Drosophila melanogaster: one gene and its partner. The protein of the gene in region 2 purifies or fractionates together with the protein of the main gene of each other region. This does not show direct contact. Each region holds a gene or a part of one and is shown on either strand. Other genes may lie near its edges.

The links. The genes of interacting proteins can lie anywhere in the genome.
Region 1: the proteins of PAN2 (region 2) and Gyf purify together in Drosophila melanogaster (affinity purification with western blotting, with the first as the bait; one study listed by BioGRID). This does not show direct contact.

What each region holds. Positions count from the first base shown.
Region 1 is NC_004353.4:862,696-868,630, forward strand, and holds the start of Gyf (gigyf), read right to left. Parts: upstream 4,331-5,935; 5' UTR 4,281-4,330; exon of another isoform or gene 4,275-4,280; intron 3,600-4,274; 5' UTR 3,572-3,599; coding exon 3,236-3,571; intron 3,178-3,235; coding exon 3,007-3,177; intron 2,948-3,006; coding exon 2,653-2,947; intron 1,717-2,652; coding exon 1-1,716.
Region 2 is NT_033778.4:8,924,739-8,934,673, reverse strand, and holds PAN2 (Poly(A)-binding protein-dependent poly(A) ribonuclease 2), read right to left. Parts: upstream 6,506-9,935; 5' UTR 6,375-6,505; coding exon 6,320-6,374; intron 6,217-6,319; coding exon 6,026-6,216; intron 5,966-6,025; coding exon 5,796-5,965; intron 5,739-5,795; coding exon 4,477-5,738; intron 4,416-4,476; coding exon 4,294-4,415; intron 4,241-4,293; coding exon 4,141-4,240; intron 4,084-4,140; coding exon 4,024-4,083; intron 3,965-4,023; coding exon 3,669-3,964; intron 3,605-3,668; coding exon 3,408-3,604; intron 3,344-3,407; coding exon 2,981-3,343; intron 2,920-2,980; coding exon 2,721-2,919; intron 2,660-2,720; coding exon 2,448-2,659; intron 2,384-2,447; coding exon 2,162-2,383; intron 2,104-2,161; coding exon 1,994-2,103; intron 1,932-1,993; coding exon 1,765-1,931; 3' UTR 1,571-1,764; downstream 1-1,570. Other genes in the region: FANCI (fanconi anemia complementation group I), read left to right, coding at 1-57; AIMP1 (aaRS-interacting multifunctional protein 1), read left to right, coding at 6,575-6,733, 6,790-7,602; CG8237 (uncharacterized protein), read right to left, coding at 7,935-8,912. UniProt on the Drosophila melanogaster protein: Catalytic subunit of the poly(A)-nuclease (PAN) deadenylation complex, one of two cytoplasmic mRNA deadenylases involved in general and miRNA-mediated mRNA turnover.

The DNA of each region.
Region 1 (5,935 bases), on a different chromosome or scaffold from region 2:
GACCTACCTCTTGCTGCGATTGCTGAATCATTATTTGGGCATTTAGAATGAAATTATTAGCATCCAGTAAATTTCCCACTGAACGTTGCTGCTCGGTGTTTGCAAAAATATGTTGTTGATCCTTCTTGGCGTGCTCAACCACTGCCCTGTACAACTGTCTACCGGCAACGGGGTTCAGTACGGACAAAGAATTGCTTAATCCGTTTAAGCTGATCAAATACTCAGGAAGACCCAGCAATTGAACTTTCCGACGAACAACTGTTTCTTGCTCGACAGCCGAAAGACGTTGAAAGCATTCATTTTTGGATAGCTCAGCTAGTATTTGGTATTCCTGGTGCTGTATGTACTGATCCTGTAGCATTTGAAACCGCATTGTAAGCAAATGAGACGTATTACCAATGCTATTTCCGCCAAAACTTCCTTTTATTGCAGCACGTAGAGCTTCAGCTGTTGCTGTAACATTTGCCTTTAGTTGCTCATCTCTTTGTTGCTGCAACTGCTGTTCAACAACAGAAAGTGCGATAGGAATCGGTGATGGCTTATGGGGTGTAATTGAAAGTGACGCCGTTAGAGGGGCTGGTATTTGACCAACAGGAATGTTCTCTAGTTCTATCGGAGATGGAAGTAGGTGACTGTGCGTAAATGGCATGTTACCATGACAAAATTTTATAAGCTCTCCCAGCGGTCTAAACCTATTATCAGAGTACCGGCGTACAAACAGGTTCTCATTAAAGTAGCCAGCGCGATACCATTCCGTCATCTCAACGGCACTAAATGGCCCCTGAACATTTGCCTGCGGATCCCGGTAAAACCACAATTCGTTTAGATTTGGAGTGATGATATGCGGTGTAGGAATCATTGGAAATTGTGGCAGGTGGTGCATGTTATGGTGTTGCATTGTCTCATGATCCGAAAACGACACAACTGCATGGGATGGTGGAGCGACATCTGTAATTGTAGGGGTAATTTGTATAGGCATGGTGGAAGGTGCTTGCCGATGCACTGCTGTAACACTCGGTTTTACGTTTATCTCAATGTCTGCCATTCTTGGAAGTGCAGCTGTAAACCCGTCATGATTTTGATGTTGGCTTTGATTCGAAGAGATTTTATGATCATCATCCATTATAAGTTTTTCTACTTCATCGGCGACCTCTTTAATCCGATCTGAAATATCTCCATGGATCACTTCCTTTGTCGTTGTAGAGCTTATTGGAGATAAACTGCTTTCAACTTCTTCTTGCACAGCTGTTGTATTGGTATCTTTCGTTAATGAGGTTTCTGGAGTTATATCGTTTCCACTATCTGGATCAGACAGGTCTTTACTTTTCGGTCTTTTTACATCGTCATAGGAGTCTAAGCTTTTGGTTTTTAAAGTATTATGCGAACTTTTGATAGGTTTTAGATCAGTATCTCCATGAAAGGCTCCACTAGCATCAAAACTGCCACCCAATTTCGATGGATTTTCAATTGCCCATTCGGGTAGATTTTCGTCGGCATCAACACCGGCTGCATTATTAACAGTCCATAATTGAGATATTTTAGAACTCGACAACCGTGGGTGCGATATGCTCCCTACTCCCTCTGCAGCTCCGATTCCAGATCCTTTATTGTTTCCAGTCCGATCTGTACTTAAAGTCGCAACTGTTGAAATTGAGCGTTGTAAACTAGCTGCATTGTCGACGCTAGGATCTTCATCACGCCAGCTTGTAGATCTTCCTAAAAAAAATTTTTTTTTAAGTTCTATACTGTTGTTCAATAACTTGGACTATTTAAATTTTAACTTGGTTCATCTTCTTAGCAAATATAGCAAACTTACTAAACAGAAAACCGCTATAGTCGAGCTATTGCAAAACTGTTACCCATTTAGTTAGATACTAGAAATGCAAGCGATATTCAGATATACAAGTAGGAAAGCAAATATGTCAGTGATTGTACACCTGATCCACATAGCGGCAGAACACTAACTCTTAATCACTAAGCACGACAAAAATTTTATAAATACATTATATATACAATTTATTATAGTATCCAAACTTCGATAGAAGATTACCGGGTGAAGAAGTACATTTTAATAAAGCGTAAAGCGTATCAAAGTGTAAAAAGTATATTTGGTTACGTTGTTATGTATAGGCAAGCCCATATTTGAATAGTTTGAACTGTTAGTTAGTTGGACTTTGATACATAACACTTAAAATGGGCTCGCGTTTTTTTATTTTTCAATTTTGATAAATCAAGTCTATTCTGGAAAAAAAAAGATCATTATTTGAAAACGTACTAAAGCTACCAGCGATGTACTTTAGGAATGAAATAAAAACAAGGCCTGATGCATTGCATAGAAATTACCATAGGGATTTCAGCTGGTCTATTAGCATTTTTGTTTAAATATTCTCATATAAAATACTTCATTAACTAAAACATTTAATCTTAATTTTAATATATTTATGAAAAGGTTTTTTAGAATACGTTTTAAAGAAACACAAACTTTACAACAGATTGTAGCATGAATGGTATCGAATGAATAGCCAACTATATAGGCTGGGGAAAGTTTTGGAAAGTCAAATTTACATGATAGAGATAGCAGTACATGTATTATTGTGCTCATATGTGTAGGAGTAAAAATGAAAAATAATAATATAAAGGTAATTGACTGACCCCACCGATGGCTATTGGTACCAAAACCTGCGTTTGTACTTCCACCGACGACACCGCTCCGCCAACCAGCAATATCGGGTCCGCTCATGGAACCGCTGGAGGATGGACCATCACCGGATCCATCTTCGTTACGTGTTCGTCGCCAGTTTTCCAAGTTGCGATGATTATTAGAATAATCTTTTCGAGGACTTGAGCTTGGAGTTCCATTCCAATCTAGAGCACCAGAGCCACTAGTGGAGGTGGTGGTTGCCGCAGAATCTCCAGTTCCGTTGCGGTCGCTCCATGTGCGTTCGGCCTGGCAGAAAAAATCAACAACTAATCGTACTTCCTTATTTAGTTCGTATTTGCAATTACCTTTGATATAACCGATAAGCTTTCATCATATAGACCGCTTGGGCGTTGGTATATCGGATGATAGGCCGATTTTCCGCGCATCCGTCCCCGGTCAACGGTTCCACCACGTCCAGAGCCTCGGGAGGCACTACCAAATCCACTGGGCGAGCGCTGCAACCAGGCAGGACGAGACTAGTTTCAAAGAAAAGTAAATTATGTTCTAAAACTCATGTCAAATTACTTCACATACGTTATTGCCAAGTGAGTTTTGGTTGATGTCCTCCTCGGAGCTCGGTGTCAGTGCAAGAGGGCACTGAACCTTTTCCACGAAGAGCTTTTTGAACGATGGCAGGATCTGCGGCAGTAGGCAGTTCCGATCGAACAAGGACAGCATTTCCTCGCGTCCGTACCGGTATTCTGGAAATAGATTACGGGAAGCGGATGCCGCCGTGTTGTTTCCCAGGTTGTGCCCTCCAATCGAATTGTTTTGAGCTGCATTACCAACGTTGTAGGTACTGGGAGAGCCCGAAGGCTCGGCTGACATATTGCGCAACCATTCCGGGCCAAATTTCATTGAATCTGTCATTTTTATTTGCCTCTTGTTTAATGTTATGCTGACAATAAGTTCAAAAAAGTTTTTGGTTGATTTATTTGTAAGAAAGGCAATGAAATCAAATTTTCAGTGTTTTTGTTAAACTCCTAATGGCTTTATGATTCTGTGCACAATTGTTTATTTTTCAAACAGTTCAAGTTCTATAAATAAAGCAAACAGCTTCAAGTCTTTTTCAAAGCAAACAGTACAACAAAGGATTTATTTTAAAGCTTAGTTAAGAACTAGTGATAAAAAAAAACTTACCAGAGCTTTACAGAATGGATAGTAAAAGTAAAATAATATAATATAAAAGCAACACAGAAACCTAACCTAAAATATCAAACTGATTGTCACACACGAACGCGAAATACACATGCACCCTCATCACACATTAAAATTAACATGTTTATAGAATTGAAATGTCTGATTCGAGCTTTCATGTTTGAAATATAGAACTAATAGAACTAATATAGATCTAAAAGGTAAAAAAAATTCGTAAGTATCTGGACGCATACAGACACACAGTGATGTATGTACAAATTTTTGATTTGTGTGACTTTATCACACTGGGCGGGTGTGTTTTATTTTAAAGATTGTTTAGTTAATTCTTCTGGTAATCTTAATAAAATCAAGCCACTATAACTGCACATCCTAAAAAAATTTTTTAAATTGAATTTCGTAAAAATATTCAACTTACACGTACCACCGAGATATCTTAAAATACCAACGCCAACATAAGATAGAGCAAGGCCAGCGTGGCCGTCTTGCGATATGTCAAGCTTCCAATTTAATTTAGCACAGGGGTATTCTTGCCACTTTTGCTTCTTATACACTAGCTCCACTACTACTAGTTGACAGATACATCACCCTTGTCTTCACATTGCAACATCAAGCACCGGGATTTAGAGAATGCATAAGTGTCAATCTTTAAATCAACCAATCCGTCTGTCTGTAAGAACGTCTCGCTTTCAGGAACTATAAGAACTAGAACTTAAAGCATGCTGATTCTATAGATATAGACGCAGACGATGTTTCCACGACCACTAACTATGTGTTGATTTTTTTCTTTAAGTTGAGTAACGGGAATTCTTGCTTTAATATTATTATTTAATTATTATCACTGCCAAAGCTAGATTCCTACCTTGTTGTTAGCTTTGTATTGAAACTTAGTCTTTCGGAATTGTTAATAATTTTATATTTAACAAGCAGTCGATTTTCATTTCAAGTTCAAGTTTTTCAGTATTATAACATAACAGTAGAAATAGTAAAGTGTAAGTAAACGATGTATTAGTTTATTTTGAATAAATATATAAATACAAATGTATATATTTAAATATATATATATATATATATATATAGTAGTGGATATATATATTTATATATATATATATAAATTTTAATATGGTTACATTATTTTCATAACCGTTTTCATAACCACGTTTGTCTGGTTTGATCCAAAATGAATACCTGGTTTGTGATTATTTTGGTCTTTTTACATAAGTCATGAAGTGAGGGGTATGTGTCAAAAATTTGCTGCGATGTATACGCACCCCTTTTGTCTTTTGTATAACTGTCTGTTCGTACGTATGAACGCCCAGATATTGGAAACGAAAATCGCCAATGGTGCATGTGATTTGTCTGAAAACGATATGACGCCCATAACGCTGATGCCCATGTTCTGAAGGATTTTCGGATACCTTAATCGTATAACAGCGAAGCTCGAGCGATCTTAATCTTTACCACGTTTCGAGGCAGTGAGTACATCTGAAATTTTGGCACTGTTCCCAGATCGGGCGCTTAACGCATCGCTTATAATGCTTTTAATTTAGCGTAAGGGTCATTTCAAAATGTAAACCAAAAACGCAGACTTCGTAACGAGACCTAAAGTCAGTTGCACCCGTTCTGAGCGTTCCTGCGTGTGGGGGAAAAAATATCATTGCAACAGCAGGATCTCAGCCTGCTCCAAGTTAGGAGTATGAGAAGGAATGGCGAGCAGTAGGCGAGGCTTCTCGTTATCTCGGCAAGGATGAAAACGGCTTCTAAGGCAGTTAAACTTTATACATATAATCTCCTACAGTACGTCGTTAACCAACGTGGAAAGGCCTTCAACACAGTTACAACGACAGGGTGAGTGCATAATATGTAAGCCTGATGTTGGTTCCCATTAAGTGCAAGATAAAGACAAATAAATATATATTAAATTTGAACCTCATAAGTAACAATGGGACGGTTATCCAGATTAGAGTTGATTGAATCCCCATATAATTCTATGGTTTAAGCTAAATTTCTGAACTATTAATTTTGTTAAGAAAATAGTGAAGTTCGGCACGCTGAAGTCGCCATGATACAAAAAAGATA
Region 2 (9,935 bases):
AAGAAGAAACCACAACCTAGTCGTAGACTGGGAATACCTCGTACATTAAGGAAATGATGTTTTGTTAAAAAAAAGTATATTAAAAAGTATATGTATTTAAATCATGCCAGTCCATTGCTTATTCAAAAATGGTTGCGATTATCGCAATTACTTAATTTTCATTATGTGCTGTATTGCTGTTTTCTAGAATTTCCACATGTTCAAAAAGAAAAATTGTTCAATGTTTTTGTGAATCTTGTTCATTTAATATCATTGGAATTTTAGCTACCTAATCTCTGTAAATTAAAAGGCTGCTTCCCATTATTTATTAGTACTGCAAATAAAAAATATATATAAGTATATTCATAAGCGAAACTTGATAAATTAAACAATGTACTCACTTGCAGCGTGTGCCCATGTCCAGAAACAATAACACTTCCGTCATTGCCCACCGAGACAGTTCGTCCATCCGGACGCTTCCACACCGACACACTATCATCCCAAATTCCTGCTTGATCGTCACGAGCCACGAAGTTTTCTCCCTGGACGCGGCCATCTTTGATGCTGCGGCTGTCCCTTTCAACAATCAGTCCTTCAAAGCCCTTTGCCAAGGTCGCTCCACAGGAAACTGGGGACTACGCCTGCCCCTTTGGACAAAAAATCCTCCGGAACCCACATCCACAGTGCGACCAGGACGCTCCACATGGAACTGAGGACTACGTCTGCTCCTTTGGACGACAAATCCTCCAGAACCAACATCCACAGTGCGACCACTTCGCTCCACATGAAACTGGGGATTGCGAAGTCCCGCAGGCTGCACAGTGGAGTAGGCGGGCTGTACAGCAGCTAGACCTGGTCCTCTAAGCGTATGTGTTCCTTAAAATAGTATCCATAATAAGATTTATGCACTGCCTCGAACCATGATTCTTAGCCACCTGGTCCTCCAGCGTCTTTTTTGTGCACATACGTGATCCCCTGCTCATCCGTATAGACGTGATCTGCTGGCGACGATGCGTGATGGAACTGACCACCTACTCCTGGCACCTTGTATACGCCATCGTTCTGCCCCCGAATGTAGACTTGATTGCCGGGTGTTCCGAAAACGTGAGGCCCATCATGTCCGTCGTATGTCCGCTGGAGATCGGCAGCTGAGGGAGCAATGGAATCGTCGATTAGTCTCCGTTTGGGCGAGACCATGGTAAAGGGATTTTTCACCAACGCACAAAACAGCGCAAGCGATCGGCACGAGAAGTCCAAGCAAATGCATTGTCATCTATGTTCCCTGAGTGAATGGTGAGCTCTAACAACTAACTGGCTTGACTTGCTCGTCGTGGTATTTATAAGTAGGTGCGCAGTAGTCCAACATCAGGTTATTCATCAAATTGGCGACAGCATCTCAAAAATTCACAAACGCCGCTGGTGATAGGGGAGGGCGAATGAGAATTTCAAAGGAATTGAATCGATTGACGTGCACGATCCCTGAACACATCTGTTGCCCGCTTTTGCCTATTAGCCCGATTGTGGATTTGATAAGCAACTTAGATTCGCATCAACGATCAATAAAGCATCACTGATAAGAAATACAACTTTTATGCTTTGTTTTGATTTTGTTATAAAGATAGACAAATACAACATGAAATACCAGGAGCTTCGTAGCAAATAGCAACGCATTAAAACATAATAAAATTGGGAGAAGCCGGGATTTTTTCAGATCGGTGTAGCGTTTGTACTGACGATAACGTTGATTATGAGTTTCGTCGAATTGGCATCGGGTTTGGCGACGAATCAGTCCTCTGGAACCTTCCACTGCAGCTGCTTTCCGCGTTCGTAAAGATTCTTGAGAGCGTTGGCAAACTTCTTCTCCTCCTGCAGCTTCAAATAGTGCTTGTAGAGCTGCAGAGTGGTCCGTGCATCTTCGATGGAGTCGTGCGTCTCGGACTGAATCTTAGTACCTTTGGCATTAGGAAAACCCAATTAGATACAATTCCAAATCGAAGAAAACCCCTATACAAACCCAAGAAATGCCAGGCTAGAAATCTTAGGGAAACCATGCGATGATGTGGCATGTGAAACAGGTGCACCGTATCTATTATCTGCTCCGACGGTACATAGATGTTTATGACCCTGCAATCACATGGAAGTTTAGTGGTCTATTGGTTCCTTACAAAGCAGGGCATCCCACCTAAAGTCGTTCTTCAGACCATGTCCGACAAATATTACTCCTACGTCAACGAGGTATTTTAATTTCTGGTATGAGTACTTCAAGGCAGTCAGTCGCTTTTTGCTGAAGTTAGCGTCCAAGTCGCCAGGCTTGATTCCCGAGAACTGAGTTAGGTAGTCCACGACCTTCTCCTGGGTGGATATGTAATCGTCCATGAATGGAACTCCTTCAGCCGGGCCTTGTCTGTAAAGAATTCATACCCGTGCTTATCGAGATGAATATTTTTAAGTTTCAGTTAATGAATTACCCTCGTATACATGAAATCCGGGCCACACTCATGTGGCATGGCTTAATGGTCGCCGTTTTGCCATCCGGGCGAATCTCATTTTCCTCTGGATTTAGGGTAACGAACTCGGCATCCATTGCGACCAGATCACCCGACTGCGGCATTTCATCTGACTGCAGGGGCTGCAGCGTGGCGTCTGCACTTAAGTTGCCTAGCATAGGACTCACAATTTCCTGGTAGGATTAAGATTCAGATTAGCATTCAGCAGACTCAATGCTATATTAAACTATTAACCTCTAGAAAAGGGTTGGATAGATTTGTTGGCGAGCCGCTGCTGCTCTCTGATGGAATGGTTTCTTCACTTTCCGTGACGGTCGAGCTAGTAGTACTAGCAGACTCAGAGTCATCCTCTACGTGTCTGTAGAAGAGTATGCAAGGAACTTTCCAATCCAATGTGAACCATACCGATTCTTGTGGCGAAACGGGCGATATGCTGTTGAGCGATATATGAGCAATATTAATCGAAGGCCATTCACAATAGAGATCTAACTTACCTAAAATCATTAAAAATATACCATTGACTCTGAGGGTCATCTGCAGATTCAGCCAGTTTCATGGTGTGGTATGGCCGCTGCACATTTATCAACGATACCAAGTTCTTTTGGGTACCATCATCGACTTGGCACACCACGGCATGCAGCGCGTACATCCGATTGTTGTCCAAGCCCTTTGTTGGTGGCTTTTCCGTTTCCTCCTCCTGTTCCGATTTGCCACTGCTTGCATCTGATTGAGTTTGCACCTGCACCTCACCTTGGTCATTGATGCCCATAGTAAATGTAAGGGGAAACCAGGACTTTTGGCGTCCATTGGGAGAATTGTTGACAGCATTCGGTTGGCTTGTGTGCGATGGAGATTTTCTGCACAGTAGGTACAACAATATGCATAAGACGACTGATTCAGTTTCGATTCGTCGTAACTCACCGATCCGGATGCATGAAATGGCAGTCACTTCGCGAACAGTTGGCTCCATATCGACACGGCTTGCTTGTGCTCAAGGAAGCGGCCGCATCAACAGTCGTCTTTTCGCTGCAGCGATTGAGCTGGCGCTTCAGGAAGGTAATGTCTTTTTCGTTGTTGAGGCCACAGTTAATGGACAGAATTTGCGGAAGCGAAGTCACCTGAAATTCAGATGCATTACATATGTAACTTCTTGCTTGGTTCACTATAAAGTTAGCTCCCGACCTTCACGCTCTGATTGGTTGGCGAAAACTTCTTACATCTCTCGCAGAAGGCCTGAATACTCTTCTCGGAGCTGAGAGATCGCTTCAAAATGGTGCCAAAGTTGAAATACTGATCACTATCTTTGATGTGGTTGGGATACGACAAATTGCAGGCAAGTAGAATGCTTTCCTTTATCTTCTCTTCTTGGCATTTGATGCAGCGGTTTATACAGATTTGCTTGGTCCCAAAGATCTTACTGATGTCAGTTTCTGCGTTGATCTTACTGCGTTCCCGATCGTCCTCCTTGGAGTTCTCATCTGTTCATATACGTACATATGATTAGAGTGTTAGTTAAACCATTAATTCACCTGCCCACCACTTATGGAATCGTAAAGGTCCGAGGAGCCACTTGTTTCTGAAGAGCCCGCGTTTTCCGCTGCAAAATAAATCGAAGTTTCACTTATTTGTAAAGGATAAACTCGGCTGTGGTTACCGTTCGTTGATGTTTGCACAGATCCGCTGTAGGTGGATGCGTTCTTGCTAGAATCGAATATTTCGTAATGCATTTGATGCAAAATGAATCGGTTCCAGTTCTGAGAGTGTGCATAAATTAAATATCTGCTTAGGAAACCATGGTATTACTTGCCTGTATCAGCGATATTAGATTGACGTTCGATGAGCGGTCGGTGAGAATCAATCCCAGTGCCGAGGCCTCTGGCACAGTGCGGAAAGATCGCAGGAAATTGCTGGCCTGGCAAGGTGAAGAAGCTGAAAGGAGCACACATAAATACTTAAACTAAGGATAGTTAAGTTACACAAGCAAACTAACCGGTACTTTTATCCAGCATGTTGAAGAGGAACCCTAGTTCGCAGGACAGGCAAAACTCCTTGATGCACGAATGCTCCAGCAGCTTCACGCGAAGCGCGTCGGTGAAATACAAAATCTGTAGCATAGCATTGCAGTAGGAGTTCGGTAGCGTTGCCTCCAGCCCCGCGAAACATGTTTGATTATGCTGGTCAAAGTCAAAGTCCTGGGTGCCCAGCTTCGTGTACTTCAGCTCGACTTTGCGATACCGCCGTGGAATGATTTTCACACCGTTCTCCGCCTTGGTCGCCGCCGCAGTTCCATTTCCGTTCGGACTGCACACGCCGCCCTGCTCAATCACGTACGGAATTTGATTACGACGGGCGGTGCGTGGGTTTGGCGAGTATCCAATCGGTCCCTGCATTTTCATGTTGCTCAGCACTTCGGGATCAATGGTCTTGGGCCTGTGGTAGCGGTAGCGCAGCAGTTCCTCCGGCCAATCTGAGAACCATTGTGTGCCCGTCGTCAAGTGCGGTAGCATGACCGACGATAGCGGAAAGTTGGTGTCCGTAATGGAGACCATCGGCAGCTGTGGCACCACGTCCGCAAACTCTGTGCTTCGCGAGTAGAGATTGAACTGCGGCTGAGGCGTTTGTACAGCGGCAATCATGTTGATGTGGCCCGACTGGTCCCCAAATGCCATGGCCTGTGAAGAGGAGCTAATGTCGAAGCTGAGGCACTGGCTGCCGTTGGTGTTGATCTGGTACATGGATACTCGCGGCTCGCTGAGCTCCACAGTGTCCACCAGCTGAACCTGGCCGTAGCTGGACACGACGGCCAGTTGGGATGTCAGCGATGGCAGGAACTTCAACATCTGCGGATCAATCATCACTTGAATGGGCGCGATCAGGCGCAGCATGCGCAGATCGTAGACCATTAGGAAGCGGTCGATGGCCAGGTTATTTTGCCTTCCGCTGTAGCCGCAAGAGATTAGCAGATTTCCCTGGACACTGAAGTCCGAAAGGATGTTGGTGTGCGTCTTGATTGTGTGCTGAACACTCAGGCTGTTCAGGTCGCGCAACGTTACCGTTCCCAGCTGGTCGCCGGCAAACAGATAACGTGAATTCTTGCGTAGCACCGTGCATCCGCCGGCACCCACATGCTCTATGCGGGTTTCCTTGAGCGTGCGCAGGTCGAAGTCGATAAGCTCGTCCTGCAGTCCGGCCATGACCAGACGATGCGGTGATAGCTGCAGCATGCTCACCATCTCCTTCATGTTGTTCGATCTGCAAGAAATTGAAACCTCACTTTCGGGGAATCTTTGTGCCAGCGCGGTGGCTTACTTGAAGGTAAACTTGGGCAGACCCCTGCGGATCTGATGACGCAGCGAGGTCTGCGTGAGCGCCAGCACTCCGGAGTCCAGGGTGGAGATGTCGCGCACAATGTCGGTGGCGTGGACCTGAAAGGATGTGTACTTCTGCATGGAGTTTGTGTAGTACGATGTGACGTGGCCCTGCGGGAAGGAGCGAAGATTCAGGATTAGTAAGCCTGGCAGGCTGGACGAGGAACTCACGCCCTGGTTGCCCATCCACAGCAGCTCTTCGTAGTCGTCGAACGCCACGCTGGAAACGCCGAAGTGCTCCCCGCCGTCGGCAAGCACGGGCACAAGCTCCACATATTCCGGATCGGTGGTGCCGATGTTGAATCCATTGAAGCTGGGCGAAAAGTGCCCGTTTCCCGGCGCAGATCCCGCGTCATAAACACCTTTTCAAAAAGTAAACAGAAAACAAAGGAGAAAGCTTTAGCTGGCTTGCGTGTGTGTGTGCGTGTGGGTGAGCGTTGGCCCCAAAGCGACCCCTTGACCCACTTAGTATGTCTTCGGAGGCCCCGATGGGGTCGGTGCCGCAATACACGTAATCCATCTGCCGCACGCCGATGCCCACGCGACTTTTTATTGTTTATTTTTTAACAAATTTCGCTCAAAACTGCCAGCCGTTTTTGCGTTGCACCGATTAGAGTGACCCTGGCAGGGCTGATGTAAAAATACTCTCGCTTCTCCGCCAACGAACTACCTGTCCAACGCTGCGCGACGCCACTGTGCGTGGCAAGAAGAAGCACTGCAATGCTGCGTAGAGCTGCCACGACTGTGGGATCCGCATGTAAAAATTACGGCCAGAATTGCTCAAAATTCGCGAGAAACAAAAGAACAATGGCCGATCTGCAGCAGATTGCAAGCAACAACGAGCGCGCCGAGGCGCTGATCAACTCCATTGAAGCCGAGGCAAGTATTTCCGCCTGCCAGCGCCTGCGAACACTCGATAACCTACTGCCCCCCAGATTTCCGGCATCCAGCAGCAACTTGTGGAGCGCCAGAAGCAGGAGCTGATCAAGGAGAACGCTGCACTGGCCAAGGAAGTTGAGGCGGCTTTGGCCCAGCTGGTGCAGCTGGAGCTGCGAAATGGCAAGAAACAGATTCCGGTGCCTGGAGCCCGGGGTTTCTGCACCAGTGCGGCCCCAGTAGTTATGCCGGCAGAGGCTGGACCTGCTACCGCTGCACCCGCTGCCCCGGCTCCTAAGCCGGCCAAGGAGCCCAAGGAAAAGAAGTCCAAGGAGAAGAAACCGGCCGCCGAGAAGCCCGCCGCCGCTCCGGAGGCTCCCGTCGACGTCGGTCGCCTGGATTTACGCGTGGGCAAGATTGTGGAGGTGGGTCGCCATCCCGACGCCGACAGCTTGTATCTGGAGAAGATCGACTGCGGCGAGGCGGCTCCACGCACCGTGGTGTCCGGTCTGGTGAAGTTCGTGCCCCTGGAAGAGATGCAGAACCGTCTGGTAGTGGTCATGTGTAACCTGAAGCCGGCCAAAATGCGCGGCGTCACCTCGGAGGCTATGGTCATGTGCGCATCTACACCGGAAAAAGTGGAAGTGCTCAGTCCGCCCGCCGGAGCTGTTCCCGGCGACCTGGTTCACTGCGAGGGCTATCCGCGCCAGCCAGACGCCCAGCTCAACCCCAAGAAGAAGATCTTTGAGTCGTGCGCCCCGGATCTGAAGACCAACGGCGAACTGGTTGCCTGCTACAAGGGCGCCGCTCTCCATGTTCCTGGCAAGGGCAACGTGGTGGCCCAAACCCTGAAGAACGTCAATGTGAAGTGAGCCAATAAACGAAACTAAAGCTTTGAGCCAATAAACGAAACATCACCGCCTGCACACCATTTCAGTATCAGAACTTCATTATCATTCAGTTTCTAGTACCAGTGAAGAGTAGCTCTACAGGAATATCGGAAGCTCTACTGATCATTGGGATTACTGGTTATGTTTGATTATCGTGCAGATTCTGAGGTATTCATGTGATATTTTATTTTATTTCACACGACAGCAGTACATAACGACATTAAATTTATCATTAACAAGTCTATTTATATGTGCATAGGAAGTGCATAGGAGTGCGCCATTCCTACACACTTTGGCTGGTTTAAGTGCCGTCCTCAGCGATTATTGCGCTGCGCTTGCCCTTGGGTGCGGAACACGGCAATGGAATTGCTCTCCACCACAATCGTTTTGGTTAGGACGTCGTAGGCGGTGCGATTGTTCTTGAAGAAGACCATCAACACGCAAATGGGGAAGAGCAGGGTCATCCCCAGGTTCTTGATCAGCGCGCGGGCGAAGGAGCGCATCAGCGAGGGAGTCTGTGGCGGATAAAGCAGAGCCCTCATCGGCTCCCTCTGCGGCTGGAGGACGAACTGTGGAAGGGGCGGCCCCTGAAGCGGCATCACTGCTTCCACATAGTATATGCGTATCTTCATCAGCGACTTGCCCGGCGTAGCCCCTTGGTATAGGTATGTCCACAGCGCTTCGTAGCAGCAAACGATGAACTTGGTCAGCATTTCGATTAGCAGGAGGTCGGTGGACATCGAAATAAAATCTAGTGATGTGTCAAAGAAGTTCGAAAAGAGGTCTTCTTGGTCCAGGGTGCGCCGAATCACGTCCTCATCGAACTCTATGTTGAACAGGTTGACCACCCCGAAGGTAATGATGATTTTCACAATGAAAAGGATGAACATATCGATGGTCTCCGCCACGGCGCGCTTCCAAAAAGGTGACAGAACGTACTCGTAGCCGCCAAGACGCTGTATGATATCCAGCTGGGCCGCCTCGCCCAATATCCGCAGGCCGCTGAAGTTTGGCGCAGGCAAACGAGGCTCTGCAGCTGGTTCTCCCGGCGCAGCAGCCGAGCCCTGAACCAGTGCTTGGGGTTGTCCCATGGCGGCTGCTTGGAGAGCAGCGGAAGAAGGCAGTCCCGGGAACATGGTCGGGTAGTTGGCCATCAGGTAGTAGGGAAACATGAGCATCGCATTCTGGGCCAGCGTCGCCTGTTTGGCCCACTCGGCGAGGCTTTCGAAGTAGGCTTCCTTGGTGGAGCGCTCCGTAAGCTTCTGACCCGTCTCCTCGCCTTGTTCACCCATTTTCTCAGTCTCACAATGATCGATTTTGTTATTTGGCTGGCTTTTATTTATTTATACAAGTTGACGTGTATTGCAATCGGTAGGGTGTGTCGGCGTATCGCTGCGAATGACAAATACTGCTAAATACGATTCCCTGTGAATTTCAAGCAGGGCGGGAAAATTTAAGAAGACTCACTTTAACTTTTGATGCGAAATATTTGATAGTACGTAAAATTCGAAAATATATTATTCTAACTTTTTGTACATACAACTATAATGTTGAATAAAAAGTAGTTGGGCAACCGAACAAGAAGCTGTTTATCTAATGAACTAAATGTAATGCATTTTGTAGTTCTTTAATATATAAATTAAAAGCACGAGGTCATACATTACCCGTATTTACTTACTTTGAAATCAGCGACACAACGAAGCACATACAATTGTCTGAATATTTTATTATTACACAGTTCGAAGTGGTTTGATTTCTTCCTTAGACATAGCAACTTAAGAATCGAATACAATAAATCCGTTGACAACCCGCCATGATATTTTAGATTCACATTGACAAACAGGCGTGAATAAGTTCTTAAGGATATCAAGCATTTAAAAAGTACTGCGCCAGAAGTCTACACCTTACATTCGTACCCTGGCGTGGACGATTTTGAATGCATGCGTATCAAATACCTAGCTAATGTTGAAAAATAACATGTACATTTGATTGGAAAGTGCATTACGTTCTGTGGTTCAATTTTCAATTTTAAGTAGTTGGGTGTTACACGCGTATGTATGTACCTTTTATGATTTAATTGGAATAGATTTAGACGAGCAGACGCGATTCCTGGTGGACATGGAGATGGACATGGACATGAACATCGTTTAATACAGTGGCTTGCTCGACAATGAATTCTTCTACGAACACGAATAGGACAACTAACTAAATTGGCAAGTTGTTGTATAAATCGAATGTATATAAACAAGCATCGCCGTCTCACACACACATGTTGCAACACCGAGACGAACCGAACACTCGTGTCTTACAATTAA